4 linked regions of the Struthio camelus genome follow. The protein of the gene in region 4 binds, or shares a complex with, the protein of the main gene of each other region. Links are inferred from orthologs where the notes say so. Each region holds a gene or a part of one and is shown on either strand. Other genes may lie near its edges.

Region 1 (7,430 bases), on a different chromosome or scaffold from region 4:
ACCTCTGCATAACTGACTTGCGTGCATATGCACTACGCCGGCACTCTCTAAGGGCTCCGTGTGTAGGATTTTAACGTTTTATATCTGTATACTATATACATAGGATTGTAACTATTTGACTTCTATTAATTTCATGAACAGTTGTGAATTTAAGCTGAGAGAACCCTTTTATGTTGGTGGATGAAATGTACTCCAATTTGAAAGTATTTTTATGAAGAATTCAGAAAGCGTTTGAGATACTAGCCTTAAATTCAGATCTGTTAGTGGGGGAAGCACCCACTAGAGAATCGACTTCTAGATATAAAAAACAAAATATTAAGAGTGGTTGTTGGAACAGATTGTCCAGAGAGGGTATGAATCTCCATCCTTGATGTTATTTAGAAACTGACTGAGCAACCTGCTCTAGTTAGACTTTCTTTAAGCAGAGGTTGGACAAGATGACCTCCTGACAATTATTCTGTGGGCAGTTAGAGATGCTAATTTATTGTGGACCAAGGAGTAGAACTGAACTCTTCACCAGCCCTGTTTCTAACTTTTTCAGTATAAAATCTACTGCTTGAGGGAAAAGCTGGATAGCTGATAAAAGATATAGAGGTCTTCACCTCTGAGTCACAACTTCCAAGCTTCCCTCTTCAGTGACTGATGACTGAAAGTTGTCAGCGTCAGCTGGCTGGTCTGGTAGCTTGCATTTGGTTTGAAGGTGAAGATGGCAAAACATTTGTTCTTTTCTTGTGGACTGGCATCCAAATTGCCATTAGCGTGAGGTATCAACAGACTGCACTGGCTTGTGAGAATGAACCTCCTGCTGATTTTTCCAGGGCTTGGTCAGCCCACTTTCACAGAATCACAGAATCACAGAATCACAGAATCACAGAATGGTTGAGGTTGAAAGGGACCTCTGGAGATCATCTAGTCCAACCTCTCTGCTCAAGCAGGGTCTTATAGAACATATTGCCCAGGATCACATCCAGACGGGTTTGGAATATCTCCAGCAAAGGAGACTCCTCTCTGCAACTACCTCTCTGGGCAACCTGTTCCAGTGATCTGTTGCCCTCACCGTGAAGAAGTTTTTTCTCAGGTTCAGATGGAACTTCCTGTGGTTCAGTTTGTGCCCGTTGCCTCTTGTCCTGTCGCTGGGCACCTGTCTCATCCTCTTGACATCCCCCCTTCAGATACTTATACACGTTGATCAGATCGCCTCTCAGTCTTCTCTTCTCCAGACTGAACAGGCCCAGCTCTCGCAGCCTTTCTTCAGAGGAGAGATGCTCCAGTCCCCTCAGCATCTTTGTAGCCCTCCGCTGGACTCTCTCCAGTAGCGCCATGTCTCTCTTGTACTGGGGAGCCCAGAACTGGACACAGCACTCCAGGTGAGGCCTCACCAGGGCTGAGTAGAGGGGCAGGATCACCTCCCTCCACCTGCTGGCAACACTCTTGCCTAATGCACCCCAGGATCCCATTGGCCTTGTTGGGCACACTGCTGGCTCATGCTCAACTTGTCCACCAGGACTCCCAGCTCCTTCTCTGCAGAGCTGCTTTCCAGCAGGTCACTCCCCAGCCTGTCCTGCTGCATGGGGTTATTCCTCCCTGGGTGCAGGACCCTGCACTTGCCTTTGTGGAATTTCAGGAGGTTCCTCCCCGCCCACCTCTCCAGCCTGTCCAGGCCCCTCTGAATGCAGCACAGTCTTCTGGTGGAGAGGAGAGTGGTAGCAGATGGGAGAAACCTGGATTGCTTCTGTTCGTCTTGCATGTGTTTTGTGAACACAGGACTTGAGTTTCTGAGATCGCTGATCCTATCCCTTTCACCAGCAGTATTGAAAGAGCCACGGTGCTGCTGTGAGGCAGTGACTAATGACCAGTTTTAAGCAGTAATGGCTGAGCAAGGCACATGTCAGTTGATTGGACTGATTCCCCTTCCTTCCAGCCACATACTTGGTATTTTGGTTTTCTGCTCCTCTAGAAGAAGAGCTGCAGGAGAGCACTTGATTCTCATATAGGTTTTTGTGTGTCTGTATGTATGTGTATGTAGTGTTCATATCATGTGTATTTAACTTTTACCAATATCTGTAACAGATTTTAATTTATCCTGTATATTTCTGTGTGTGTGTGTGTGTGTGTGTGTGTGTATATATATATATATATATGTATATAATTTAAAAGCAAAAATCCCTCCCTCCACCAACAGTGTGTGGAAAACACGAATCAGGTGTGCGTCACCTCACTTCCTGCAGGCATCAGCTATACGTGCAGTAGCATGCATTGGTTCTGTATGGGGAAACAGCAGCAAGACTTTAAGTGTTTGTAAAAAACAAGACTATCTTGTGAAGCTAGGTAGAAGCTGAAATAGAAAGCTTTTTAATTTGACCCCAGGATCTCCAGCCCTTATAGCATAAAAGTTTCAAAATGATAGAAGAGCACTTTTGGACTACTTCCAATTTGAAGTGTAGTTTCTCTTTTTCAGGGCAGTTGAAAGTGAGCTGTCCCTCATTATGGCTGAGTCCCAAATCATATTTAAATTAAATCCTCAGGTGTGCAGGAGGGTTTTTCTCCCCGTTCCTCTTTACCATATATTCCCCAACTGTGCCAGTGCAAAGCAGTCTGTCTGTTACAGACCTTTTCTCAGTTCAATGTTGTTTTCTCAGTAAATTAAGTGGATGAAGCAGAAGATTCTGAAACTATCATGTCAATTCTTATCTGAAGCCTCAGACCACAGAATACCTGTTTGGACAATATATGACTAATCACAGAGATCTTGGAATTGGGAAGAGGCTTGGGAGGGAGGCAGTCTAATTCAATTTGTGATCCTGGACCCTTACTAAAGCATCTGCTATTGGGAGTGGCACAAAGTCACTGGCTCTTTCCAGCTCTTTACAACTGAGAGCATTGTGGTAAAGGGCTAGATCTCTAAGAAACAGAAGGAGATCAGCTCTTGCTTTGTCATCTGTACAATTGAAAACTCTTGAAGAGTTTAAAAACACACACAACCCTAGTGTATTGTATTTTTATTTAAAATTTGTACACTTTGTATAATCTGTATCTTGTGGTATTTGGTACTAGAGGGAAAACTTTGGTGACACTTAGCAGTTTTTATATTTTTGTTATTTCCTTGCTGTTTGATCCAGATTACATTACAATTATATAAAGAAACTCTTTTGTACTGTACTTAACAATATAATTTTTTTTAACATTTGGAGTGTTGTCATTCATTTCTAGTGTTTACTATGTTTTCTTGCAACAGTTGTTCCTACTAGTATTTCGTGTTTCTCGGCAAAACACTTTTAATTTTAAATTCCTTCATCTCAGTTGTTTTAAGAACAAGCAATTCTAGTTCTAATAGCACAGTTCACCTGAAATACCACTCAAAGAATACTGACAATTTGGAGACCTTCCTGAAGGGAAAGATAACATCTAGCATGGCAAATCCTACAGCATGGGGCATTTTTCTTCCCTGTTCTCTCATTTCAGTTCACCTTTGTGGTGTTAAGGTGAAACAGTACAGGGGACTCAAGATCAAGACAGTGAAAGGAACTACAGGCATGGCAAAGTTAGATCATAATCAGTGCTAGTTCTTAACATGTCCCCATTTCCAGGGTCTGACAGATGCACTGGCCACTTACACCCTCAGCGTGTGTGATGTCCAAAGACATGAGGCTGTTGCAGAACGTGATACTTTACTAGCCAACTTGTATTCCTTGTTTTAAGTACATTTCAACAGAAGTTTATGGAAAAATAAAAGCCAATAACTACATGCTTTCACGCATTTCAATGCAGCTCTAGGTAATGTTTATTCTGCATAGATACAGAAGAGCATTTGAGGAAACTGTTCTAGTGTTTCAGTAAGAAAATGGTAGCAAAAAGATACATCAGTAGCCACATCAGCCTGTCTTGGTGCCACACTGTAAATAGCTGTGAAAGAAGGTAGGAAGAACGCGTGCAGGGAAATCGTACTTGTTGGTAGCTGGGCTCTTCAAAGCTGTGGCTGCAAACAACTGCCTTGTCTACTAAAATAGCATTCAAAACCTCCCCGCAGGGAAAACGCACGGTGGACTTCAGCCCCACTGGTGAACAACAGCCACGACCAACCGCTCAAAGCGGTCAGGTTAGAAAAGCGCTCCAGCCTGAAGCTGCAACCGACACACGGTTTACTGTGGCCGCTCGCGAAAGCGGCGGCGGCGGCCGGGCCGGGCCGGGCCGGGCCCGGCCGGGCGGCCGCACAGGAGGCCGCGCTTCCGGCAGCGGCCGGCTCCGCGCCTCAGCGAGCGGCCCCGTTCCCGGGCCCCTCCGCGGGGAGGGCGGCCGGGCCGGAGCGCTCTGGTGGCTCCGTCCCTGACGGACTACCGGCCACCTTCCATCTCCGCCGGCCCCGCCCCCACCGGCGGGGCGGCGGCCGTTAAGCGCGGGGCGCTTTCGTCACGGCGTGGCTGGGCCTCGGAGGCACGCCCCGGCCTGGCGCGCGGGCGTCACGTGAGCGGCGCCGGCGGAGTCAGCTGATCGCGGCGCGGCGGCAGCGATGGACTTTCTCCTAGGAAACCCCTTCAGCTCCCCCGTGGGGCAGCGCATCGGTGAGGCTCCCGCGACCCCGCGCCGCGCCGCTCCCCTGCCCTCCCCCGCGCCCCTGAGGTGGGCTCGCCCGCTGGCTGGACCCCCTTCCTCCAGGAAGCGGCGGCGAGAGCCCCGAGGGGGCGCGGCCATCCCCGCCTCCACGGCGGGCCTGAGAGAGCGCCAGCCTATGAGGGGAGCGTGCCGCTTTGACGGACAGGCGCTGTCCACCAATGGCGAGCAGCAAGAGCTGGACGGCTCCGTCGACCAGCCAATCCGTGTGCGGGGGGGGGGTCTCGAGATGGCGAGGCAAAGTTTTCTTGCTTAAAGGGGCCGAAGCAGCGGTGGTCCGAGCCACGCCCCCTCGCGCAGCCGCCACCTGTGATTGGCTCGGGCCCGTTCCCGCCGACACCTGCATGAGGACCTGGTGGGGGGAGCGGGCACATACGGAGAGGGGCGCGTGGGGGGTCGCTGATTGGCTGGGGCTCAGGCCACGGGGGGCCTATCAGCTTTCTAGATGAGAAGGGTGGGAGTTCTCCTTGAGAAGGGGGTCCTCCTTGGGGGCCATGACAGAGTCTGGAGGGCTTTGCTGGGAGGCTGGGGGGGGGTTAGGCCTGCTCCAGGCTCTTTGGGGCTCTTCCCAGGGGGGTTCAGTGCCACCCCCCCTGCTCTGAAGGAGGACAGCTCTATCTGGTGCTGCCCCTGCTGAACCTTGAGGTCTGCAGTGCGCAGGGCCCCCCCCCCCCCATAGGGCCACACTGCAGCTCCACGAGGAGGAAAGTGCCACCCCTGCACCGCTGGATTTCTCATAGGTCTGAAAATCAGCATGGGAAGTGAAATCAACTACAGGTTTATGGCATCTTCTCTGTGACCTCTCAGGCTGATGGACTACTAAGTCTTTTTTTAAACCCTGTGCTCAGGTCAATTAGATGAACACAGGGGAAGAAATTGATCAAAAATGGTCTCAAAACAGAGATATAGTGCTTAAAATGCTTAAAACAAAGGTTCTTTTCTTCCCCTCTTGTATTACATGCTTTCTGGTTGTGCTTGAGGTAGTACAGTTGATGTCACATGTTTAATCTATCCAGCATGATAGAAAATGGCCATTTGTAATTTTATACGCTTCTTCATTGTTGCTTTTTATCACTAGTGCCAACCTGTGTTCTTCATCTTGAAAAACTGATTCCTAATTCAGTACTTTTCAAACTGCTTGCGTGTGGGGTCCACATGTGTAGTGCACTGATTGTGTCATGTATGGTATGGGAAGGGAGCAAGCAGTTGATGTAGGTAGTGCTTTTAAAAGTCCTACTTATTTTAGAGGCTCTTGCTGCCCAAAGCAGTGTCCAAACAATATGGATAGGGCACTGTGATATGGCCCATGTTAGCGTGTTGGACAACATAGGTGAGATTCACTGCTGCAAGGTAGGGGAAGGATCGCTTTGGCCAAAGATATCAGGGAAGTTACTAGGTAATGAGAAGTTTCAGATGATCTTTGATGTCCCCCCAGGCAGTTGTCACATGTTGCATCACGCTTTCCAGGAGGAGCATTCTCCCGCCCTTTTCAGAATGAATGTTCTTTGATTCCCTGCATGAATGTATGGGATATGATTTTTGCATTTGGGTTGAGGCAAAATGAAGTAATCTTTAGATGTTACAGATTACATCTTGCCCTCCAGATCTTTTGATCAGTGTAGCAGCCAAATTATAAGTGATTTCCCTCTGGGCTTTTCTTCTGTTAAAGACAGGGTTTCCAAGTAACAAACCAACAGCAAAGAAGAGAAAATAAGTATTTCAAGAGTGTTGTCAGACAGGAATTTAGAATCCTTAGTACCAGAGGTGTGACAGTAGAGAGATCTTAATGGTTGAGGTTGCGGGAATCCAAAGGGTTGGAGGATTTGCAGTGTCTGAGAAGGGAACTGAAGTGTGGAGGACTTAAAAGGGCTGGTGGCTGTAAATATGAATGCTTTTTTCCTTCTGATCATTGCCTAGCAACATCCTGGGGACATGGATAAATGCTATCTTCACTATTTAATTTGAGACGCGAACATGACTTACCCTAAGTTGTTTGGTAGGTCAGTGTCAGCTGCTTATACAACCCTTGAGCCTGATCATCAAACCTGCAGAGTGCTGCTGCTTTGGGCTGTCTACAGAAGGCTTATACTGCATCATTGTAAATTACTTCAGCAAAGTCGTGTATGCTTGATACAGCTTATAAAGTCTAAAACAGCTTTGGATGAAGGCGGTGGAATGAAAAAATCTTTTGTGCCACACTCCAGTGATGTTCTGAAATTGCTTCATTAGTGTTAATCTAGTAAGTCCTCTTTATTTTGCTGACATGGAAACTGGTGCTTAGATAAACTCAGTGATTTGTCTCAGAATGAGTCAGTTGCAAACTGCAGAGGAGTAGGTTTTCCAGCTTCTTACTCCCAGTCCTGGAATTTGTTCACAAAAGTTCCTTTTGTTCTGTTTTTAGATCATGATATGTCCTCCTAAATAAGAGGAATACAGACTTTTTTTTTTTTTTTAATGCAATACTTTTGGCTAGCAGAGAACTTTCCAAAGAGTTTGGACTCTCCACACAGAAGGATAATCCCCTTGGCCTCTACCTAGGAGCTCCGAGAAACCTCAATATGGAAAACCTAACTCCGAGGAGGCACTCTAGTAGTAACAAGGCAACTGTAGAGTGTGAAAATGGAGAAGAAACCACAAATATTCTCTTTTCTTAAAGCTTAGAGTTTGGAATAGCTAGTAATTATAGCAAGGGACAGAGACTGGTTATTCCAGTGAGTGAAGGCAGATAGGGGAGAAAACTAAACATGTCATAGAGAGACAAAGAAGAGTTTGGGGGGCGGGGGGAGGAGGTTAAGTGTGTGGAAACAGGAGAAGTTGAGAAT
Region 2 (7,141 bases), on a different chromosome or scaffold from region 4:
GGACCGTCTAGGACGTCCCTGCGTCCTCCTGGGATGGCCCAGGATGCTCCCCCCACTTCCCGCTCAGAGTGGCTCGGGCACCATCTGGGGTGTCCCTGTGTCCCCCCATAAAGTCAGACCACGTCCTGGCGTCCCCCCCAAGGTGCCTCAGGGACCGCCTGAAGCGTCCCTATGCATCTCCAAGTAGGACAGTCCCTTCTCATCCCCTCCAGAATACTCAAGGTCACCCTTTCACCCTGAGGCTCTCCAGGAGAGTGGGAGCTGGCCCGGGGTGGGTGACACGTGGGACAGTCGTCCCCGCACCTTGATGAAGGCGTAGCCGGCGCCATTGTCGGTGATGGTGAGGCCCAAGGCCTCCTCGGACTTGAAGACCTCGACCTCCTTGCGTTGGCCCTTGGTGTGGGCGAAGATGAAGTCCTCGAGGCCGATCTGTCCCCCCAGCAGCTTCTCCATGTCCACCTTGTGCGTGTTGAGGGTGCAGAACATCACCTGGGTGGGGCAGGGCCGTCAGCGGTGCAGGGGCACCCGGAGCCCCACGCCGGGAACACGTGGGACTTCCCAGGACACACAGGATCCCCTTCCTGGGGACCACCTCCCTGGAGACACATTGGACCTCCCAGGACACACGGGACCCCCTTCCTGGGGACCACCTCTCTGGAGACATGTGGGACCTCCCAGGAGACACGAGATCTCCTCCGGGGCCACACGAGACCCCCGTCCTGAGGACACAAGGGACCTCTCTTCTTCGGGACGCCTACCCTGAGGGCACATGGGACCCTGGGGACATGTGGGTCGCCCTTCCCAGGGACATCTACCCCAGGGCCACCCAGGAGCTCCCAGGACACAAAGGACCTCTTCCCTGGGGATGCATGAGACCCCCTTCCAGGGGACACCTGCCCTGGGGTGCACAGGAGCCCTGGGACACCTGTCCTGGGGACATGTGGGACCCTCTGGGACACACGAGACCCGCTTGCTGGGGACACCTGTCCTGGGGACACGTGGGACCCCCTGGGACACAGGGGATCCCCACCCTGGGGACACCTTCCCTGCAGAACATGTTGGACCTCACTGCCTGGGGACACCCTGCTGGAGACCTGTGGGCCCCCCCCGCCAAGGACACATGGGATCCCACTGCTCGGGGACGCCCTCACTGGGGACACGTGGGACCCCCCCCCCTCCATGCACCTACGGGTGCTGCCCTCACCCCCGTTCCTCTCCCCCTGGTCTCCGCAATGTCCTCTTGTCCCCCTCCCCACCCCAAGGATCCCCTCACCCTGCCCGTTGAGCCCTCTCTCCCCCAGCACCCCGGGGTGCTCTGTCCCCAAGTGTCCTGATCCCCAGGACCCTCCCCAGCACCTAAGGGTGCCCCATCCCCGAGTGTCCCGATCCCCAAGACCCCCCCAACACCTAAGGGTGCCCCATCCCCGACCGTCCTGACTCTCAAGCCCCCCTTCCAGCACCCAGGGGTGCCCTGTTCCCAAGTATCCCGAGTGCTCAGCCCACCTCCAGCACCCAGGGGTGCCCTGTCCCCAACTGTCCTGACCACTAAGCTCCCTCCAGCACCCAGGGGTGCCCTGTCCTCGAGTGTCCCAACCCTCAAGCCCCCCTCCAGCACCCACGGGTGCCCCGTCCCCAACTGTCCCGAGCCCTCAGCCCTCCGCCAGCACCCAGGGGTGCCCCATCCACAAGCATCCCGACCCCTGAACCCCCTCCCAACACCCAGGGGCGCCCCATCCCGGAGTGTCCTGACTCCCGAGCCCCCCACCCTGGGGTGCCCTCTCCCTGAACCCCCTTCCCGACACCCAGAGCGCCCCATCCTGGAGCGTCCTGACCCCCGAGCCCCCCACCCCAGGGTGCCCTCTCCCTGAACCCCCTCCCAACACCCAGGGGTGCCCCATCCCAGAGTGTCCTGACTCCCGAGCCCCCCACCCCGGGGTGCCCTCTCCCTGAACCCTCCTCCCGACACCCAGAGGGCCCCATCCCGGAGCGTCCTGACCCCCGAGCCCCCCACCCCGGGGTGCCCTCTCCCTGAACCCTCCTCCCGACACCCAGAGGGCCCCATCCCGGAGCGTCCTGACCCCCGAGCCCCCCACCCCGGGGTGCCCTCTCCCTGAACCCCCTCCCAACACCCAGGGGTGCCCCGTCCCGGAGCGTCCTGACCCCTGAGCCCCCCACCCCGGGGTGCCCTCTCCCTGAACCCTCCTCCCAACACCCAGAGGGCCCCATCCCGGAGCGTCCTGACCCCTGAGCCCCCCACCCCGGGGTGCCCTCTCCCTGAACTCCCCTCCCAACACCCAGAGCGCCCCATCCCGGAGTGTCCTGACCCCCGAGCCCCCCACCCCGGGGTGCCCGCTCCCTGAACCCCCTCCCAACACCCAGGGGTGCCCCATCCCTGAGCATGCCGACCCCCAAGACCCCCACCCCGGGGTGCCCTCTCCCTGAACCCCCTCCCAACACCCAGGGGTGCCCCATCCCGGAGCGTCCTGACCCCCGAGCCCCCCACCCCGGGGTGCCCTCTCCCTGAACCCCCCTCCCAACACCCAGAGCGCCCCATCCCTGAGCATGCCGACCCCCGAATCTCCCCCTAGCACCTCTGGGTGCCCCGTCCCCAAGCGTCCTGAGCCTTGAGCCCCCTCCCAGCACCCCGGGGGTGCCCGACACCATCCTGGCCCCCCCCCCCCCCACCCCGACCGCCGCCCCCGCAAAGCCGCACCTCGCCGGGCGGGATGCGGAAAGCCTCGGCGATCTTGCCGTAGAGCTCGCGCACGTTGCCGAAGCCCTCGACGCGGCCCGTGGGGCTGCCGTGGGCCAGCTGCGTGTGGAAGACGAGGCGGGGGCGGAGGGCGGCGGCGGGGGGCGGCGGCGGCGGCAGGAGCCCCCCCGGCGGGGGGCCGCCGCCGCCGGCCGCCCCCAAGGGCGAGCCCGGCGGGCCGCCGCGGCCCCCCGCCGCCTCCTCGTTCTCCACCAGCGGCGGGGCCTTCTTGCGGCGGCCCAGGCCCAGCGGCATCGGCGGCGGCGGCGGGGGGGGGACGGCGGCGGGTGGGGGGGGGGACGCGGCGGCGGCTCTGCGGGGGCTGCGGGGAGAGGGGAAACTGAGGCACGGGGGCGGGAGGCTGGGTGTGTGGCCTGGAGGGGTGTCGTGTCCCCCCCCCCCCTCCCACCCCGGTCCTGGCGTCCCTCCTTGTCCTGGTCTTCTCCCCCCCCCCCAAAATCATGGTTCCCCCCCCACCAAGTCTCATTTCCAGCCCCCCCCCAGCCCCGTCCCGGTCCCCTCCTCGGTCCTGGTGTCCCCCCCGTCCCCGTTCCCCCCCCCATCCCAGTTCTACCCCCCCCAGTCCTGGTCCCCCCTCCCCAGCCCGGTCCTCGTCCCCTCCTCGGTCCTGGTGTCCCCCCCGTCCCCGTTCTACCCCCCCCCAGTCCTGGTCCCCCCCCCCCAACCCCGTCCCGGTCCCCTCCTCGGTCCTGGTGTCCCCCCCATCCCCGTTCCCCCCCGTCCCCGTTCTACCCTCCCCCCAGTCCTGGTCCCCCCCCCCAACCCCGTCCCGGTCCCCTCCTCGGTCCTGGTGTCCCCCCCGTCCCCGTTCCCCCCCCCCATCCCAGTTCTACCCCTCCCCCAGTCCTGGTCCCCCCCCCCAGCCCGGTCCTCGTCCCCTCCTCGGTCCTGGTGTCCCCCCCATCCCCGTTCCCCCCCCCGTCCCCGTTCTACCCCCCCCCAGTCCTGGTCCCCCCCCCCCCCAACCCCGTCCCGGTCCCCTCCTCGGTCCTGGTGTCCCCCCCGTCCCCGTTCCCCCCCCATCCCAGTTCTACCCCCCCCCAGTCCTGGTTCCCCCCCCCCAACCCCGTCCCGGTCCCCTCCTCGGTCCTGGTGTCCCCCCCTGTCCCCGTTCCCCCCCCATCCCATTTCCACCCCCCCCCAGTCCTGGTTCCCCCCCCCCCAACCCCGTCCCGGTCCCCTCCTCGGTCCTGGTGTCCCCCCTGTCCCCGTTCCCCCCCCATCCCATTTCCACCCCCCCCAGTCCTGGTCCCCCCCCCCCCAACCCCGTCCCGGTCCCCTCCTCGGTCCTGGTGTCCCCCCCTGTCCCCGTTCCCCCCCCCATCCCAGTTCTACCCCCCCAGTCCTGGTCCCCCCCCAACCCCGTCCCGGTCCCCTCCTCGGTCCTGGTGTCCCCCCCTGTCCCCGTTCCCCCCCCCATCCCATTTCCACCCCCCCCCAGTCCTGGTCCCCCCCCAACCCCGTCCCGGTCCCCTCCTCGGTCCTGGTGTCCCCCCCTGTCCCCGTTCCCCCCCCCATCCCATTTCCACCCCCCCCAGTCCTGGTTCCCCCCCCCCAACCCCGTCCCGGTCCCCTCCTCGGTCCTGGTGTCCCCCCCGTCCCCGTTCCCCCCCCCATCCCAGTTCTACCCCCCCAGTCCTGGTCCCCCCCCAACCCCGTCCCGGTCCCCTCCTCGGTCCTGGTGTCCCCCCCTGTCCCCGTTCCCCCCCCCATCCCATTTCCACCCCCCCCCAGTCCTGGTCCCCCCCCCCCAACCCCGTCCCGGTCCCCTCCTCGGTCCTGGTGTCCCCCCCGTCCCCGTTCCCCCCCCATCCCAGTTCTACCCCCCCCCCAGTCCTGGTCCCCCCCCCCAACCCCGTCCCGGTCCCCTCCTCGGTCCTGGTGTCCCCCCTGTCCCCGTTCCCCCCCCCATCCCATTTCCACCCCCCCAGTCCTGGTCCCCCCCCCCCAACCCCGTCCCGGTCCCCTCCTCGGTCCTGGTGTCCCCCCTGTCCCCGTTCCCCCCCCCATCCCATTTCCACCCCCCCCAGTCCTGGTCCCCCCCCCCCAACCCCGTCCTGGTCCCCTCCTCGGTCCTGGTGTCCCCCCCCAGTCCCGGTGTCCCCCCCAATCCCAGTTCCCTCCCCCTCGGTCCCAGTGTCCCCCCTGTCCCGGTGCCCCCCCCAGTCCCAGTGTCCCCCCAACCCCGGTACCCCCCCCAGTCCCGGTGACCCCCCCGGTCCCGGTGTCCCCCCCCCGGTCCTGGTGCCCCCCCCGGTCCCAGTGTCCCCCCAGCCCCGGTACCCCCCCCCAGTCCTGGTGCCCCCCCCGGTCCTGGTGCCCCCCCAGCCCCGGTACCCCCCCGGTCCCAGTGTCCCCCCCCAGTCCTGGTGACCCCCCCAGTCCCGGTGTCCCCCCCCAGTCCTGGTGTCCCCCCCGGTCCCGGTTCCCCCCCGGTCCCAGTTTCCCCTCCCCGTCCCGTCCTGCCGCCTCCCTGGGCCCCAGTCCCGGTGTCCCCGGTTCCCCCCCCCCAGTCTCGGCCCCCCCCGCCCCTCACCCTCCTCGGTCCCGGTTCCCTCCCCCGGTCCCGGTGCCCCCCCCCGTCCCGGTCCCCCTGGCCCCGGTTCCCCCCCGGTCTCAGCCCCCCCCCGTCCCGGTCCCGTCCACCCCCGGTCTCAACCCCACGCCGGTCCCGGTCCCCCTGGCCCCGGTTCCCCCCCCGGTCCCAGCCCCCCCCCGTCCCGGTCCCGTCCACCCCCGGTCTCAGCCCCCCCCGTCCCGGTCCCCCTGGCCCCGGCCCCCCCCGGTCTCAGCCCCCTCCCGGTCCCGGCCCCCCCCCGGTCTCAGCCCCCCGCCGGTCCCGGTCCCGGTCCCCCCCCCCCGGTCTCAGCCCCCCGCCGGTCCCGGTGCCCCCCCGGTCTCAGCCCCCCGCCGGTCCTGGCCCCCCCCGCCCCCCCTCACCGTCCGCGTCCCCGGGCCGGGCCCGTCACTCCGCAAACTCCAGCCGGGCGCTGCCGGGCCTGACCCTCCGGGGAGGGGCGTGGCCAGCGCCTCCCCGCCGGCCAATCATGGCGGAGCGGCGCCGCCCCGCCGGCCAATCACCACTCAGCGACACCGCCCCGTCGGCCAATGAGCCCCCGCGCGGGGCGGGGCGGCTCCAGGAAACGGGCCCGGCCGGGGGCGGTGGACGGGCCCCGGCACGCGGGCGGCACCGCCCTGCTCGGCCGCGAGCCCGCCCACGGGGTCGGGGGGAGCCAATCAGAGGCGCGGACTACAAGTCCCAGCATGCCGCGCTGCAGGCGCCGGGCCGGGGGAACGCTGGGAACCGTAGGCGGCAGCGAGGCGGGGAGGGTGGAGAGCGGGGGGAAGCCACAGAGCAGTAGGATTTGGGGGGAAAAAACCCCAGAACCGGCGCAATTTGGCCCGGGGCGGGTGTATTGATGGAACATGGCGGGCAGTGTACAGTTTGGGAGTGGGAACCCTGCAGCCCCTGAGATGCTACAATTTGGGGGGGAAAAAAAAAGCCTGGAAATGGCCCAATTTGGAGGGGGGAAACAGAATTCCCAGCCCCAGCCCCAAATCAGCCTCCTCCTTCCCCCTCCCCCCCAATCCCCTTAAGCTCCCCTCAGTTTAGCACTCCCCCTCCCCCCATCGCAGCCTCTAATCCCCATAATCCCAGGCCGAGCTCCCAGGCCCACACCACCACCACCCCCCCCCACACACAAACGAGCCATCCGTCTCACTTTTACTAATTACACATCAATTTTACAGAGCTTTATACAAAAAAATATCTGTACACGAGTGCCAAGAGCGCTCCTGTTCCAGGAGCAACACCAAAAAACAAACAAACACCCTTTTTATCCGCAAAGGATAACACCAGAGTTGTGCTACGGATGCGAAGGCGGAAGAGGCCTTCCGAAAAAGCCCGAGGCACCGGAGTCTTCCTCGCCACCGAGCCAGGACACGAGGGACCAGCCCGCGCTGGGAGGGAAAGGAGGAGGAGGAAGGGGGGGGGGGGGAAGACCACCGGAGGGCTCCGAGCCACCATCGTCGGGGGGCAGCGGGTGGCCCGGAAGTCGGGGTTGGACCCGCACGACGAAAATCCAGGCGGTGGGAGTTTCCAGCGGAGCCGTCGGAGGCCGCTCGGCAGTTTGGACATCGCCCTTCGGCTCGGGGAAACAAGGGGGTGCAAACACCCCCCCCCCCAAGGGAGGTGCTGCTAAAGAGACCCCGAAAGTCCCAGTTGTGGTCCCCTCCCGAAAAAGAGAAAATAAAAGAAACCACCACACCTCGAGCTCTAGCCAAGTCCTTAAAGCGGAGGCGCTATATGGGCAGGACCTGCTCCAGGATGGGTTTTGAAGCAGGAGGAATGCGGTCAGGGAATTTGAC
Region 3 (7,803 bases), on a different chromosome or scaffold from region 4:
AAATCTGGAGGTGACTATTGGCACCTAATCACCAGTGGACAACTCATGAATTAGTGGAAAAACTAGATGCGCTCCATTCCTTTTTAGCATGCACGTCTTACATGGTAGTCTTACATGCTCTGGCAGCATATTTCTTTGAGGTGAAAAGAGGTTCTAACCCTACCAGTGAAACTTGCCTTCAAACTGTCATCTCTGGGTGAAAATTTGTGCACTTGAATTCATATGCTGGCTGGAAAAAAAAAAAAAAGAGGATGTGCACTGCTGATGGCTTTCCTTTCCCAGTTAATAAATGCTAGTGCTCAGCAGCTAACATTATTCTTGTTCTTACTGTTTTGCTTGATGATCAAACTATATAGATTCAGAGTGTTCACACATTCACTTACTGCGTTTGACATTCAAGCTTGGCAAATGGTAGCACTAGTCTGCTCATGAAGTACAATCTCAGCTCTTGGTTTGTCAGATTGTTCAACAGTGGACTATTTCCAGATAACAAGAACAAGTGATTTGTTTCCCCCAGGCTCTTCCAATTAATTGTTATGTTATGTAAAGAGTGAAAGTAGAGGGATACTGTTGCTCCCCTTGAGTTTAGATGAGAGCACACGACTGTGCTGTGCTTGTTCATTTCCACTGTAAGTGCTGGCCCACCCAAGGGAGAAGTTACAACAATCTTGTTAATCATGCCTGAAGATAATTTGTCCTTGATAAAGTAATCAAACTCCTGCTGCCCTACATGATTTAAAAAACAAAGCACTGAGCCATTATGCCATGCTCCAAACAAATTATCTGGACTGCTCATATATACATCCAAAGAAAGGTTCATAAACTAGGTCAAATGAGAAGTGTCCAGTGCTAGAAAAGCTGTGGCCGAGTATAATGAAGAGCTTGACCTGCTTCTGAGAGAAATCCAGGAAAACCAGGTTTATTTTCTTCATATCACCAACAAACTGATCTTGCAAAGGTGATGGATAGTAAGGATAAAATCTCTGGGGTCCCCTCTTGCTCCCTATGAAGTCATGATGCCAAGCTTGCAGTCAGTGTGTGAACGAGTTTATTGCTGCTGTGTGAACGAGTTTATTGCTGCTGTGTGAACTTTCAGAGGATGGCATGACTAATTGGGGTGCTTGTATGTGTCAAAGACAAAATACGACTACTTTAAGGCAGCAGCTCATACTCTCTGGTAAGATTTGTTAACTGAGTTTAGTCCCTCTCCTGTCACAGATAGTCCTGTTTGAACTCTGATCTTAAAATGGAGAATGAAACACAGCCTTATTGAATAAAAGGGCTTGTTTTGCACATTCTCCAAGAGTTTAAAAATAGCTTTTAACATTATTTATGACCAAGAAATTCCTGCTTAGATTTATCAACATTACTCTTTGATTTCTTGTCTCAATTTTTTGTTACCATAGATAACTATAAAGACCAACTATATTTTTTCTCAGCCTTATTTTTGTCAGAATAACAAGAGAAGATCTCACAGTATCTTATAAAAACAGATTCTTCATTCTCTAATCATACCAGAAATCCTTTTAAGTAGTTGCTGAGTTTAGAACAGGGATGACAAGAATGGTGCAAAGTATTGCAGGTAACGGCTCCCAAAGTCAGATATATATTCCATGAGTGGTGAAACAATCTTGTGTATGCTACTGATATTTTGCAGTAGAGTACTGTGGCATTTCATATCCAGTAGGTCTTTGCTGTATTTTACGTACTTGCTCCACAAACTTCATGGCTGTTGCATGCCGTATAATTCTCACATCCTAAGTACTATGGCTGAGAAACCAAGAAATGCAAGAAACAGCAGTGTGCAATACGAAAGGGTAAAGGGGCCGAAACTTTTTTTTGATAAGCATTTTTTTCTCTTCTAAAACAATAGAAGATTAACATCTGTATTCAAATAACTTTCTGACAGTATTATTTATTAAAAGTATGACTTAATTTTTGGATCCCAACTGTCCTGAAATGCTGGAGGCTTATTTGGATTCAGGATTTAGTTACGATGTACAATAATAAATGTTAGCAAATATTTCCCAGTTGGCTGCACATGCCAAGGAAGCCTGAAAGCAGGAGTGATTGTAGTCGGTGTGAATGTGATTGGTGTCCACTATAGGCTTTTTTCTTTGAGATGCTCAGCAGGCTGACTCATTTCTAGCTCTACAAATGATTCAGTCCCCACACTGTTACGCTGATTACATCTAAATGGTTGAAGTTCAAGGAAATACTGTTTATAACCGTAACTGCAGGCTGCCCCCACATCGCCAAAAAAAAAAAAAAAAAAAAAAACAGTACAGGTAGGAGCAATGGACATATAAATTGGAATTTTTTAGCACTTTAACTGTTTCCTGCCAAAGTTGGAGTCTGTTAATGACAATTTTTGGTACTGCTGTTTTAAGTTTGGAGTTGGAGAATAAATTAAAATACACAGTTTTCTCTTTCTCTGATAGAAATGTTCAAGCTCATCTATTATTATGTAAATAATGATAGGATATACATGCTCCATAATCTTTGTATTAAACAGTACAATGTGATCTTCAGTTTATTCAGTCAGCTCTTTGGTATCCCATCATTTTTCCTATTTATAGCTAAAAAGCTGATGCTGTTCCTCCAGGCTTCAAGTAGGATCAACATCATTCTCGTGCAATTTCAGTTGTTTTTTTCCTCCCATCTCCATATGAAGCATGGATTATGTTTGGAAGAGGAAATACTTAAAGCTTCCATTAAAGAAAATTTTTCAAGTTATTTAAATTAGGGCTACTGTCAGTGTTTATCAACTTGTGAAAAAACAAATCTGTACAACCTCTGTATGTCAGTATATGAAAACATGGCTGGTTTTGCTTTCATTTAACTGAATTGTTAACCCTTTCAATAACAGTCATAAACAGCATTATTTACTGTTTCGTTTTTTAACATTTTTCGATCATCTCTTCAGAAGATAAGAAATGACTTGATGGAGGTCCTATAGAGGCAAGAAAGAAACTACGATTCTTTCCATAGGCAAAGCTGTGTATCTGTAATAGCTGATATATTCCATCCTTAATATTGGCATCCCTTCTGCTGCATTGGGACAAACCGCTGATATTGGTCAGTGCTATTGTATATGGCCGTTTTGCTTTGGCCATTGTTTTTAAGGTTCCCCAATAGTGACCACGTTTTCTGGCCCTCCTCAGTAGGATTGTAGAAGCTTCACTTTAGGAAATAGGAATGCAAAGTCATTTCAAATTGGGCTGGGCAATTCACGTATCCAAGTCCGATGGTAAGTTTATTCTGTAGTCTTAATTGGTGGGAATTACTGGTAATTAATAACTCAATTTTGAATCCAGTTGTCTTAGATAAGAACTGATAACGTGGGCATTTCTGAGTATTCGGTTAAATCCAGGTTAATTTTGGGAAGACCAAAATCCAAATGGCATCACTGCACTTTTTTTCCCCACCTGAACAGAATTTAAGCTTTATGATTTCTTGAGGCAGAGAAATATATATCAGGTGATGTGCTTATGTCAGTGATAAGGACTGAAATGCCAAGAGGAGGAATTACTGAGTGCTCAGATAAAACAGCATCAAGGCTAGTATTTATTCCTCTGGAAAAGGGTTCAACACAAAGTATGTGTGCTAGGTTGTCTAATGAACCTCCCTAAGAACTTTCGCCTCCAGGCGGCCTCCTGGTCATCCTCTTCTCTATGCCCTTGTGGTCCGGCTCCTTTTTTTTCCCAGTGGTGGGTCTCCTCTGAGCGTCAGAAGGTGTGCTAAGGCAAAGCTGCTTCTCTCTGCACTTTTGTGCTAGATTCCTGTAGAAGGCCTGGATGCTGCTTCATGAAACTTCCACTCTTCATGTCCCGAGTGCGTTCAGCACACCGGTGAAAATGGAGTAATTCACTGAGGTGAGTGTAATTGTTGTGTTGTGAGTGTTGTTGAGGTGAGTTGTACTGGAGCAAAGAGGTCTTTTGTAGCAGGTAAAAGTCTAAATCAGTATTTTATAGCATACAAGATGAAAATGTTTTAAACTTAGCAAAGGCCAGAAAACATGCTTTTTCAAATACTTGTGTTAAATGTCAGTACTTCTAAACTGTTGCCCAGGATGATAGGAAAAGCCTCTTAAACTTTGCTTACATAATTATACATCGGCAAGCTTCAATAAAGTCGTGAGTACTCCAGGCACAATTGTAAATATGGGAAAGATTTGGCAGAAATCTTTATATATGGTCTTTTATATCCTGGATATAAACCTATTTTGATCAACATTTAGTACTTTATTTTGAGTACTATTTAGAAATTCCTGAACAAGCACGTGGGAAGACAGTGAACTTGCTAGCATTGTGTACACGTAGGAAAAGACATAAAGTAGGGGTGTATGTATAAACTTTGTGGAATGCGTTTTCTATTATACACCGTTAGAGAAAAGTGGAACAGACACCTTGTGTTGCAGCCCGTTTTCCGGGCAGCGCGGTCTTGGGCGAAGCTCTGGGTGCAGTCTGCGGGGAAGCGGCGGCTTCCGCTGGCGAACGCGCGATGATGGATGTGGCGGGCAGGAAGCGTTATTGATCCGGGCGAGGAGCCTCCGTCCCGAGCGGCTCCCAGCCCGGCAGGGGGCGGGAAGCGGCGCTCGGGCCCCGGCGCCCCCCGCGGGGCGGCTCGGCGCCTCCGGCCGGGCTTTACCGCCGGGGCCGGGGCCGGGGCTCACCTGGCGGCGGCGACATGGCTGCGCCGGGCCGGGGCCGGGGCCGGGGCCGGGGCGGCGGCAGGGCCGGGGCGGCGCCGGGGGCAGAGTCCGGTGCGGGGAGGCGGCGGCGGCGGCGCGGAAGATGCCGCTGGGGCTGTGGAGCAAGAAGAGGGGCAAGTCCAAGGAGACCTCCAAGCTGGTGGAGAGCGAGGCGGACCCGGCCCCGGCGCCGCCGGCCGCGGACCCGGCCCCGGCGCCGCCGGCCCCGCGGGCGCGGCTGCACTTCCACGCGCAGCTGGCGCACGGCAGCGCCACGGGCCGCGTGGAGGGCTTCGCCAGCGCCCGCCAGCTCTACGCGCAGATCGCCGAGGCCTTCTGCATCCCCCCCGCGCAGGTAGGGTCCCCCCGCCGTCACGCGTGGGTGGATGGAAGGGGCGCAGCAAGGCGGGCCGCGTGCTCCCGCAGCGTAACCGCCCCAGCGTCGTCCCCGCGATTTGGGGGGTTATTTTCTAATAAAGGGGAAAAAAGAAACCCTGTTGCTACTTCCAAAGACTCCTAGAAATGAAACACCCATCGCATACGCAGAAGGGTACAAGCATTTAATTTTTATACAGCAAAATATAGTCATTTTTACCATAATATCTCTAGTATCTTGGTTAACCTATTGTTCACTGGATGTTTAATGCAACTTAGTGCCTGTTGAACGCCGAGTCAAACCATGTCTGTTCTGGGTGGGTGGGTGGGATAATTCCAGGGCAGGAATTACTGATTGCACTGATTTTTTTTTTTTTTTCCCCAGTTTGAAAAATGAATGAATCTATGAGAGCAAATATACAGAATGGCAACAACAGGGTATAAATGCTTTAAATCTAGCCTTTTTTTTCTTTTTTAATTACAACTTAATGCGAGGTTGAGCAGCTGGAGAACTTTTTGCTTTGCCAAATGATTATTTTAAAAAGGGGTGTTGCTAAGGGAAGCCTATTAAAACTGTAGTAGGATTTTTTTTTTTATCCTGCAGCCTTTTTGATCTTTTTGAGCCGAGTTTAAACATTTGTTTGGATTACAATTCATTTGTGTTTGTAAATGCATTGTTTTCCCTTAGTTGAAAGGCAGTGGCTGTATCACGCTCTTCCTACGTGCTTCTATGAGCCTTAACCTTTGAGTGTCAAATTGTAACAAAGTGCTAACTTTTCATGTGGCTTGGTTATATAGTTTTACTTATTTTCGTATTTGTTGCTGGTTCCTTTAAACTACTGTAGACTTTGCTCTGAGAGACTACTGTGGTTAGACCTCACAGCACTTCAAAGAGTAAATGATAAAAGCAGCAGTAGCAGTGAACACAGTTTAACCAGGCACTGTTGCATTAAGTAATTAAGAGCTACCAGTACCTTTGCCAGCCAGCGCGCCTACCTCCCAGACCTTGTCAGCTGCTTTCTGACCTTTTGCTTCTCTGTTTTCTTTCCCTACGGAGCTTCTGTTCCCCTTTTGTTATCTGTTCTGTTTCCAGTTATACCTTTTACTCTCGAGCCCCGATAATTGCCAGATCGTTTTTCTATTTTAGTTTCCTTTCCTTCATTTTGCTGTCGAACGCTTTCTCCTGTCACTGATCCTGTGGCTCCACTGGCTTGAGAAAGAATAGCATCCACCGGGAAGTTCAGGGTTGGATGAATGGTGCTCTTCCCGCTTCTCCTGCTCCATGGGGAATGCAAGGCCCCCAAAGGTGAGAGAAGGAGGCCCCACGTGTCTCACCGGCATCGATCCCTGGCCTTGTACTAAACTAGAGAATGATTTTTTTTCCTTCTTTCCTTTTTCTACTGGGCCTTCCCCTTTCTATCTTGGTTTTATTTTTAAAAATTTGATTTATTGGGAAAAAGGGAGTGAAGAGTTAATGCTGGAGGCACCACGCTTGTTCTTTAAAGTGGAATGAATTTTTCTTGAATAAAGAGTTCTAATTAAGTTGCATAAAATGAAAATAGAGATCAAAATTACTTCCTGGTGTAAAAGTGGAGCAGCAGAGTGATGAATCTGGACCAGAAAGTCTTGCAACAGGATTTTGGACAGAGAAGTTAAAATAGGATAGATCAGTGAATAGCAAGTAACAATTTGGGAAAGCATCTGAATATAAGTGTAAAGTATTTCATATCCTGAAAAAGTTTTGCGCTGAAGCTTTCTAGCTTAAGGAAAGGGTATGGTCTAACTCCATATTGTGTCTGTGCAAATAAGTTGTGTGTCTTTGTTCAGAAAGAAACATGATATTGGCTATATGAGAAACTTACACTATTTTAATAATTTCAGTAGTTTGAAACTAGGGAAAATACTGCAAGACATTGTACAGATCCCTGTTTTAGCTCTGAGAATATTGGCAAGGCGTTCATTTACGTTCCGTAACGGCCTTACTTTGCACCTTGGCAAGTCGTACTTAGGATGAGGAAGTTTATGCTTTTTTTTTTTGTTATCACATGGGAGAAAAAATATTTAAGAATATAATAATTGATTCACTGACATAATTTAAGATGTGAAGGACTTTTACAACTGTTATACAAAGCTAAGGAAGCAAAAATTCTTTGTTTCGAAGCTTGGAAGTTCAATACATGCCTGTGACTGAAAAATACTATATTTATTTAGAATAATTTGTAAGTATAATAAATTCTAGTGAGTGAATAGAGATAGACTACTGGACGAGAAAATGGAAAAGGTCAGCATGCAGGATTTGTGGACACCCAAGCAAAGGGACCCTACAGTAAAGGTGGTATTTGTAACACAGTAGAAGATCTGACAGGAATCAAGACAAATATAGTGACTGAAAAATGGAAAGATTAAATGACTATTTCATGGCCCAAAGCACTAAGATTTTGTTATACTGTATTTTAATGGAGGGATGGGCCAACATCCTGACTGGGATTCCATGAAACACATGATTTGTTAACAGCAGAGCTTGCTTGAAATGAGAAGTGTAGACATTTTAAATAGTATTACTTATGAATTAAAGCTGCTTATGGGCTGGCTGGTGTAAAGAATAATGCCTGAAGGTACACCTCAGCACACTGCAAGACACTGAGGTGCTCAAATGCCATTTGGAGGTGTCATCTACCTAGGAAATTTTGTGACCGAACTCTTCTGAAGCCTGCGGGCAGTGTGAAATCCGAATG
Region 4 (7,852 bases):
AATAAAAAGCAACGGACTTGAGAAAGGCTGTTAACTGATCAGTCAGGGGTACCTTTTACCTCTTCTTGCACTATTATTTAACCAAGTCTATTTTGCATTCCTTTCTTTTTTTTTTAACTACTCACAATTCAAAATAATCTATTTGCTTAGTCTTTATATATATATTATATATATTTATTATATATAATTTCAAATACATTCTTTAAGCAGAGGTTATTGAAAAATTGGACCAATCCAGCAGATTTACTTCCAGTCAAAATATAGACCTTCAGAAACTAGTCATACTATCGCTAAAGATGGAAATGCAGAACAATCAACCTTCCTTAACTAACATGCAGTCTGATAACAGGAAAGAAGAAACTACTTATGAACTGAAATGAAACAGTAGGACTTCAAATAGGAGCTGCTGCCTTAAGCCATATAATGTCTAATTTAATAGTAAGTTGAATGTATCAGTTGGAATACAGAAGGCCTGTGGAAAAGTCAAGGTGTTTAAAAAAAAAAAAAAGTTAGCTATAGTCAAAATAGGTGTTCACTTAAAGTCTACTGGGAATAAGGAAAAAGAAACCCAATCTTTTCACGGCTGTCAGAATCATAGCATTATGTATACGCCCGTAATACTAGGTGAAAGGGAGCAGATAAGACTTACATGCCCGTTTCCAGTAAACAGTTTTCATGTTAAGGAAATGAATGTCTCTTACCTTGAGTAAACGTCCGTGGAAAGAAGCCACAGATTGATTCTGAAAGGATTATGATCTTGGAATTGGTAAGGATACTATTGCTAAAATCCCAGTAATATTTTTTAATTTCTTGAACTCTTGTCTGTGACCATAAGCTGCTATGAGCCAGTTAGAAATGTTCTTTTGCAAACGTTTAAGTAAGCTATTCTTTGTCTAGATAAATAATAGATAAATTGTACTGGCAAGACTAAGTTGGCAGCTACAACAGCTACATTTGGAAACTCTGTACAGGTAAATCCATTTTTAAAACCAATAAGGATATGACTTGGATGTTTTTACTTTTCTAAAATGATTTTATGGAATATCAAGCCACTAAGCTGAAGCACTTGACAGTCAGGAAACTTCAACGCTTCGTATTCACGAGCTGTGAGGTGTTTTAGCATGACCAGATTACACAGATACAGTGTAGTTACATTATATTTATATACGCGTATGACAACAAAGCACTTTAAAGTGAATGAACTTTGGGCCATAGGAAGTCATTGGTTAGGTGCCCACGGATGTTTCTACAGGCAGAAGTTCACCCATTACAAGCTACATTTGGAACATGTAATCCATGAAGAAACTCAGCTAATTATAATACGATTTAAACGCAACCTTTCTGTGTGAAGAGATACATATAGTAAAGGCTTGTAGTGACTGTCAAGCCTGATTTTTACATTTAATTTCTCATAGTAGAGACTGGGGAGAGAAACTTAACTCTCACAATCCGTTTCATATTTACACTGGAAGGTCTAGATCTTGAGCAACAGAATTATACAGGAGATTTCACTTTCTTAGAAGTTCAGATACCTGACATACCATTTTAAATATTGTTTGAAATGAAAATAGGTAGAATATTCTCTCAAAGTTTTCCGGGAAGTCACCTGGAATCCTTTACCTACTTATCCTTTCAAATAGTCTGCAGTTCATCAGCTCTGACAAAATACGATGGCCCGTACCACATATATTTAAAAAAATGTGGCAAATCTGAGGGCAGAATGTGTTTTCTACCATCTGTAAGAAATGAATATTTAAACATAAATTTTTAGTATCTGGGTGAATTAAGACACCGTGGACATCTGGAATATTGTCAGTTCTGCCTGGCAGCGTACAGCAAAGCAGCGTGCGCCCGTACTGATGTTCTCGCTAAAATGGAGCATTGCCTTGTCTCAGCAATCTTTCTACCTTTGGTACGATCATGGGATGCCGGGTAGGCTGTCTAGTGTGTATCGTTTGCACGTTTAAGACGATACTGAAGTATGGTACTAATGTTTTGTTCATTACAATAGACTCTTGCTACCTGATAGGTACTGCGTACTACTGAATGAAAGCTACTCCTGCAAATCTCATCTGTGCGTTACCGCTTTTGAATGGATATTTCTCCATTACGGTTTCTCCCATGTGACATATTAAAGGCACAGGAAGAACTGAGTCACGGTAAAGGCACTCTGGTCTCCATTACAGCCATTAAACTGAATCTATGTCTTACAAATATCAGTAGCCTAAAATAGCCATCAAGTAAAAATTGGTTTGAGTTTCCACCCTAGCCATACTGTTTCCTGGTATTCTGAAAAATCTCAGTTGGACTGAAATAACAGAGGCTGGTCACACTTTCCTATGAATGAAATCTGGAATGCTCCCCCTTCATATACAGAAAGTGAGTACAGTAAAACACGTTTTTCTTTGTTTTCTTATTTCTTCTTTTTTTCCCTTTGTTTAGGTTGAAGTTCCTGCACTCATATTTTACTTTTGTGGGAATTTTCTTCTTTTTTTCCCAGAGGATCTACAGAACAAACGCTGCTGTGTCTTGGGTTATTTTTAGAATTCCCAGGGACAAAAAAGTGAGAGAGTAGACAGACGTGCTCCTTACCAGGAAGCGGCACAGTAGATCATGAGATACTCTTCAGTGCTGCATCACTTCCAAGGCAAAGTGGAAGTGATTGGCTTGTTTACACTGAAAATATTTTGTTGACCATTTCCTGCCATTATATCCTGTTTTGCTAAGAGGTTTTTTTTTTTTTAAATCAGTCAGTGAACTTATATTTTCGTTTAGTTTTCTAGTCATACTTTTTTTTCCAGGTAATTATTATCCTTATCTCTTTTGCAAATAAAAAGAAGACTGAACGTACAAAACACTGCGCCAAAAGATAGTGGGTTAAGTGGAAAGTGCCACTCCCCTTCTCTAGAAGTTTAAAATATTTTGATCTGTCAAACCTGTTAACTATTCTTAAATTGTATCAAATGAATATGCAACTGCCAAATTAAACTGTCACTTTGCAGACATGTATAGTGTTTTGAAAAACAAAATCAGCCTATAGCATGTTATATGAATTGTAGGAATGTTAATCAGGACAGAGCATTTACCTCCACCCGTGCTCTGCTCTGCCTTAGATGCCGGCTTACTCATCCAGTTTGTGTACTCCCATTTTCACTTCCACGTGTACTTCCATGCTATTCTTTGACAGAATCCTTTCCCTGGAAAGCTCCCGGGGATTTCTGTTTTTCCCTAAAGGAAATATGAGGTTTTCCAGACACTCAGAAAGGATCCACCTGAAAATACCATGTCTAAAGAAAAGTAGCCAGGGACATAATGTTAAGGGAAAACATGAGAGATTTTGAAGTGTGAAGTAGCTAGATTCACTCTGTCAGCAAAACACACAAGACGACTTTATGGTCTTGCAGTGGACAGCAAAGAGGCTTTGCACATACAGTCAGGATAATTATGCTGTTCATCAAGTATTGCATGAAGAGAAGCAAAGTTTTTATGGGAAAATTGAGAAAGAAGTGGATAATGTTAGGAACGCTAATAAAACTAAGGGAGAGGGAAGTGATACAAAAGTACAGTATACGTACTTAAGGAGGGGTGGTTATATGCGTCTCTGGTGGTGTGACACAAAGTTTGACGGAACGCTCTCCAGCTGGGCTGCTCTCCTGAGTCACACCAACGCACTGGTGACAGTCACTGGCATAAGCAGCTGGGTGTGCACGGGTGCAATAGAAAATCTCCACAGCAGCTCGGAAAGCCAATGGAAATACTGGTGTGCAGGTTAGCAAGTGTGCTGCCTTGCAGGTGCATCAGACTCAGGCTAGACAGGGCCAAAGGCAGGCAGACACGACTGTCACTGAGCAATAGGTGCGATCTTAGCCTCTCCGTTTTGTGCAAAATTCAGCAATATATACCTGTGGCTCCCTAGAAAAAGGGTTGTCATGGTAGTGAAAAGAGCAGCACCTAAACAAGACGGGGATTTACGAGAAAGGATGTTTTTCAAGGAATCTCTGATTTTCAGAATTTCCACAGCAGCGGAGCTGCCATCTACTGCATATCTTTCTTTATAGTGTGATGGTTAATTAAAACAAACATGAGAGGACCAGTGAAACTTCGCTTTATTTCAGTTTGCTTTTGCTTTGAGATTCTGACATACTAGTATGAAGTTGAAGCATTTATGTTGGCACTTAAGTGAAGTTGCTGATGAACTCTAGTATTTGAAATGCAAATAGAAAGCAAAAGAGGTAAGTAGCAGCAAAAATACTGTTTATAACAGAGTACATTGAGACAGCCTGACTGAAATCAGAGCTAAAAGGTGTTAGACACTGCCCAAAAATAACTCAGAAAAAAATGCATTCATTGAATTCTATCCATACGCATCAGGAGATACAACTTTGTGGACACAGTTATTTCAGCATAAAAATGCTGTGACATGCCTGAAATTTCTAAGAAACACATGCGATGAACGGAAACCTGACTCTTTATGTAATGGCATTGGTTCAAAAAAACCTAGCCGCATCTCCACCCCTCCCCCCCCCCGGCCAAAAAAAAAAAAAATAAAACCAAAACCGAACCAACCGACTAAACACCACTTTCTGGTGCAAGAAAGAAAAAGCCAGGTGAGACCTAAGAGACATCCCCTGCACCAGAGGTCATCCACCCGCTCTAAGGGCAATGCTGCTTCCTGAATGCATCGCCAGCCCTTTCCTTTACTCCCGAAGCTTTAACTCAACCCTTTCTCCTCACGGTATTTTACCCAGGCCGGCGACATGGCCCCCACGTGGGGCGCGGCCAACGGTCGCCAACGGTCGCCGCCCGGCGCGCGGCCCGCGGCAGCCCGGGCGGGCACCGCCCCGGGGCGGGGCGGAGGCAGCGCCGCGCCCTCAGGTGAGGCGAGCGGCGGGGACTGTGCCCCGGGGCCACCGACAGGCCCTTTTTTTTGGGGGGGGGGGAGGGGAAGCCTCCCCCTTAGCCGGGGTAAGGCAGGTAGCGCCCGCTCGCAGGCCACGGACGCGGGGCGGCTCGGCTTGGCCCGGCCCAGCGGCGGCTTGGTGGGCAGGGGGCGGCGGGGGGAGACCCCCGCCTCGCCCCCCGCCCGAGCCGAGGGAGGGGGGAAGGTGTGGGGGGGGGGGTGCGCCAGCGGGCCTCGCCCGCTACCGCCCGGCTCAGCGCGGGGCCGGGGCCGGGGCCGGGGCCGAGCCCTGCCCTACGCGCAGCGACCTTGGCGGCTACGGAGGGGCTCGGGGCGGGCGGGGTCTCCCGGAGGGGCAGCGCCGGTGCTGCGGGCAAGGCCGGCGGGCCTCAGCCGCGCTTCGCTGGCGTCGCCGTCGCCCCTTCCCCCCCCCCCTTCTCCTCCTCCCCCGCTCCGGCGGCGGCCGCCCTCGCCGCGGAGCCTCCGCCCCCGGCCGGCCCCTGTAGCGCTGACGTCCCGGGCGGTTCGCCGGCCCGAGCGGCGGGGGGGGGGGGGGGCGGCGCAGAGCAGCGCGGCAGCGGGGCCAGCCGGGCGCGCAGCGCCGCCGCTACAGCAGGTAACCGGGCGCCGGGCCGCGCTGTCCCGGTGCGGGGCCTGGCGGGCGGGCGGGTGGGCGGAGGGGGACAAGCTGTTGCTGCCGCCGCCGTCACCCGCGGCCGGGCCCCGCGGCGGCGGCTTGTTGCCCTTCAGCCTTCCCCACTGCGTCCTCCCTGCCCCGTGCTCGGCGGGCCGGGGGGGTGCCGTCCTTCTGCCCCCTCCTCCCCCCCCGCGGCGGCGGCGGCGGCTTGCCCCGGCGTCCTGCGTGTGCCCTGCCGGCGCCTCCTGCCCGGCCCTGGCAGTCCCCCCCCCGCCGTGGGCCGCGCTGTGGGGCCGGCGCCGCCCCGCCGGTGGCCAGGTGCGGGCGGCTCCTGCGGGAGCCGCTGCCCGAGGGGAGCCCCGCGGGCTGGCTGCCTGCCGGGGCAGCAAAGGCTGCGCCGGCGGTGGCCGGGAGAGTTTGGTAACTCCACGTTTGTAAAACGCTTCCCAAAGGGGCGGGAGGGAAGTGGGGACTTCCCGGAGCGCCGCTGCGTGCATAGGTGCCCTCTGATATTAAACGTAGGCATTAGAATAATATGCAGTACTTCTTTAAAAGTTTAGCAAGCTTAAAACAGAGAAGGGTGAATACTGCAGTGGAGAGGATTAGAGTTCGAAGCAGGAAACGTTGAGAACAGAAGCTTCAGTTGCATTCAGTAGATCTCACTTCACACATCTCCTTAATTAAACAAACGTATTACCATTAAGGTGGGAGAAGAAACACAAGGGCGCAGGAGGCGTCCCAGGCAGTCAAGTGCCGGCCCTGAGGTCTGCAAGCTTACCTGGAGCCAGTAGCTTCAATTGAAAGCTTTTAAATGTATATGTGTAATCAGGAAAAGTCCTTCTAGGTGCTTTCCTGACTGCCCCCTTTACGTTCTTATCAGGATGGTTTTTTAGCATAGCCAGACCTTCCTTATTAGATGCAATCATAGATTAAAACGCTTTTCCTTTACATCATGAAATGTCATTGAACTTTCTTGTTCCTTTAGTATCATCTCCTGTAAAATGCTGTATGTGCTAAATTCCACTGGCTTTCATTTTAATTCCTCTCAATTCAAAAACATGGCTGTGTCCCTGTAAGAGAAATGAAATTTTTTACAGTATTGACATACTCCAGAGCATGACTTGTACTACAGTTAAAACACATCATCTGTTGAAGCAAATTCCTCTTGAAGTACGTTTGCAGACTTCAGTTTTGGAAAGCAGTGTGCATAAGCATGACAGACTACCAAAATCTATTTTTTAATTTCTGTGATTTGTATGTATTACTGAATAGGAAAACTTCAGTAAAAATATTCTTCCCCTTAATCTGCCATCACTTGAGTACAATTTATACGGTATGATATTTATTGTTGATGCTTGCCTGATAGTTGGTAGTCAGATTCCTTACTAGTAAATCCTAATGCCATCAGAGACCCATAAAATTAAAATAGGTATATTAACTACAGACTACAGATCGCATGAATTACCAGTTATTTCACTTAAATATTGCTGATTGTGTCAGCCCCCCCCTTTTTTTTTTTTTTTTAACAAAGGTGGTGGGAAGTAGAATGTCATGTCATCAAAATTAGTGTCTTGGCTTGCTCATGGAAGGAAAAGAACGTTCTTTGAAGTGATCTAATTTCTCACGGCTCAGTTGACATTATTAGGCTGTAAAATGGCCTATGAACTTGGTTAGCATTCAGCAGTGTACAAAGGTTGACAGCAGAGTAAGTTTTCCTTTTGTTACAAACGTGACAAATTAACAGAGGGTAAGAGAAACAAGATCTGAAGTTAAGTGCAGTCTGAAGTTTGTCTTTTCTAGAGAGAAGAATGCTAGGAAAAAAATCTGATAACAGAAGTGATTTAAGGATTAAAATTATCTTAGCGGAAGTCTGAAGGTATAAACAAATATCTTCTTGCAATATTTGTTTAAATATCATTGTGGAACTGTGCTAATGCACAAGATAATTGTGAAGTGTACGTTTTATAAAATAACTGCAAAGAAAAGAGTAAGTTTATTGTTAGAGCTGGGAGAGTAAATGTGAAAACTAAGTGGCATAGCAGAAGGTAAAAACCTTTCCATTGCTTTCATTAAAATAGAAATTAAATTTAATCTCAACTGTTTTCAGTAGATTTTTTAAAAATGCATGTAAATTAATAATCTCTGTTTAGCAATAAAGTACGGTTATGCCTTTTTGAAAATATAAAGCCAACAGAATGAATATAACAGCAGCTATTAAGCCTTGCAGCAGTCTTTACTATCTGAATTAAAAAGCCTGACAGAAGTGACATGCAGAAATTATAAATATGTACAATTGTAAAAAATAAAACTAATAA

The links.
Region 1: the proteins of MYO6 (region 4) and TOM1 are in contact, whole or in part, in a crystal structure (PDB 6J56), measured with the Homo sapiens proteins. The link is inferred for Struthio camelus from reciprocal best matches to the Homo sapiens genes MYO6 and TOM1. Residues at the interface, in NP_001355794.1 of Homo sapiens: Ile1182, Phe1184, Trp1202, Gln1214, Glu1216, His1218, Asp1220, Lys1221, Pro1222, Ile1224, Leu1226, Glu1234, Met1235, Cys1236, Leu1238, Glu1242, Thr1243, Gly1244, Leu1245, Arg1247; in NP_005479.1 of Homo sapiens: Ser440, Glu441, Phe443, Phe446, Leu447, Arg450, Ala451, Ala453, Ala454, Asp455, Leu457, Pro458, Asn459, Leu460, Ser461.
Region 2: the proteins of MYO6 (region 4) and GIPC1 are in contact, whole or in part, in a crystal structure (PDB 5V6E), measured with the Mus musculus proteins. The link is inferred for Struthio camelus from reciprocal best matches to the Homo sapiens genes MYO6 and GIPC1. Residues at the interface, in NP_001034635.2 of Mus musculus: Ser1055, Lys1056, Trp1057, Lys1058, Tyr1059, Ala1060, Arg1084, Arg1085, Leu1086, Val1088, Tyr1089, Trp1092, Lys1093, Asn1096; in NP_061241.1 of Mus musculus: Glu273, Ser274, Tyr275, Met276, Gly277, Ile278, Arg279, Asp280, Glu282, Leu283, Thr286, Asp310, Phe311, Ala312, Pro314, Glu316.
Region 3: the proteins of MYO6 (region 4) and GIPC2 are in contact, whole or in part, in a crystal structure (PDB 5V6H), measured with the Mus musculus proteins. The link is inferred for Struthio camelus from reciprocal best matches to the Homo sapiens genes MYO6 and GIPC2. Residues at the interface, in NP_001034635.2 of Mus musculus: Ser1055, Lys1056, Trp1057, Lys1058, Tyr1059, Arg1084, Arg1085, Leu1086, Val1088, Tyr1089, Trp1092, Lys1093, Asn1096; in NP_058563.1 of Mus musculus: Glu255, Leu256, Tyr257, Met258, Gly259, Ile260, Asp262, Asp264, Leu265, Thr268, Thr289, Leu290, Asp292, Phe293, Ala294, Pro296.

Annotation. Positions count from the first base shown.
Region 1 is NC_090942.1:59,891,331-59,898,760, reverse strand, and holds the start of TOM1 (target of Myb1 membrane trafficking protein), read left to right. Parts: upstream 1-4,424; 5' UTR 4,425-4,507; coding exon 4,508-4,559; intron 4,560-7,430.
Region 2 is NC_090972.1:3,432,502-3,439,642, forward strand, and holds the start of GIPC1 (PDZ domain-containing protein GIPC1), read right to left. Parts: upstream 3,008-7,141; coding exon 2,714-3,007; intron 490-2,713; coding exon 304-489; intron 1-303. Other genes in the region: DNAJB1 (dnaJ homolog subfamily B member 1), read right to left, coding at 7,076-7,141. UniProt on the Homo sapiens protein: May be involved in G protein-linked signaling.
Region 3 is NC_090949.1:24,429,068-24,436,870, reverse strand, and holds the start of GIPC2 (PDZ domain-containing protein GIPC2), read left to right. Parts: upstream 1-4,786; 5' UTR 4,787-4,796; coding exon 4,797-5,048; intron 5,049-6,069; exon of another isoform or gene 6,070-6,350; coding exon of another isoform or gene 6,351-6,374; intron 6,375-7,803.
Region 4 is NC_090944.1:43,547,968-43,555,819, forward strand, and holds the start of MYO6 (unconventional myosin-VI), read left to right. Parts: upstream 1-4,841; 5' UTR 4,842-4,875; intron 4,876-5,448; exon of another isoform or gene 5,449-5,516; intron 5,517-7,852. UniProt on the Homo sapiens protein: Myosins are actin-based motor molecules with ATPase activity. Unconventional myosins serve in intracellular movements. Myosin 6 is a reverse-direction motor protein that moves towards the minus-end of actin filaments.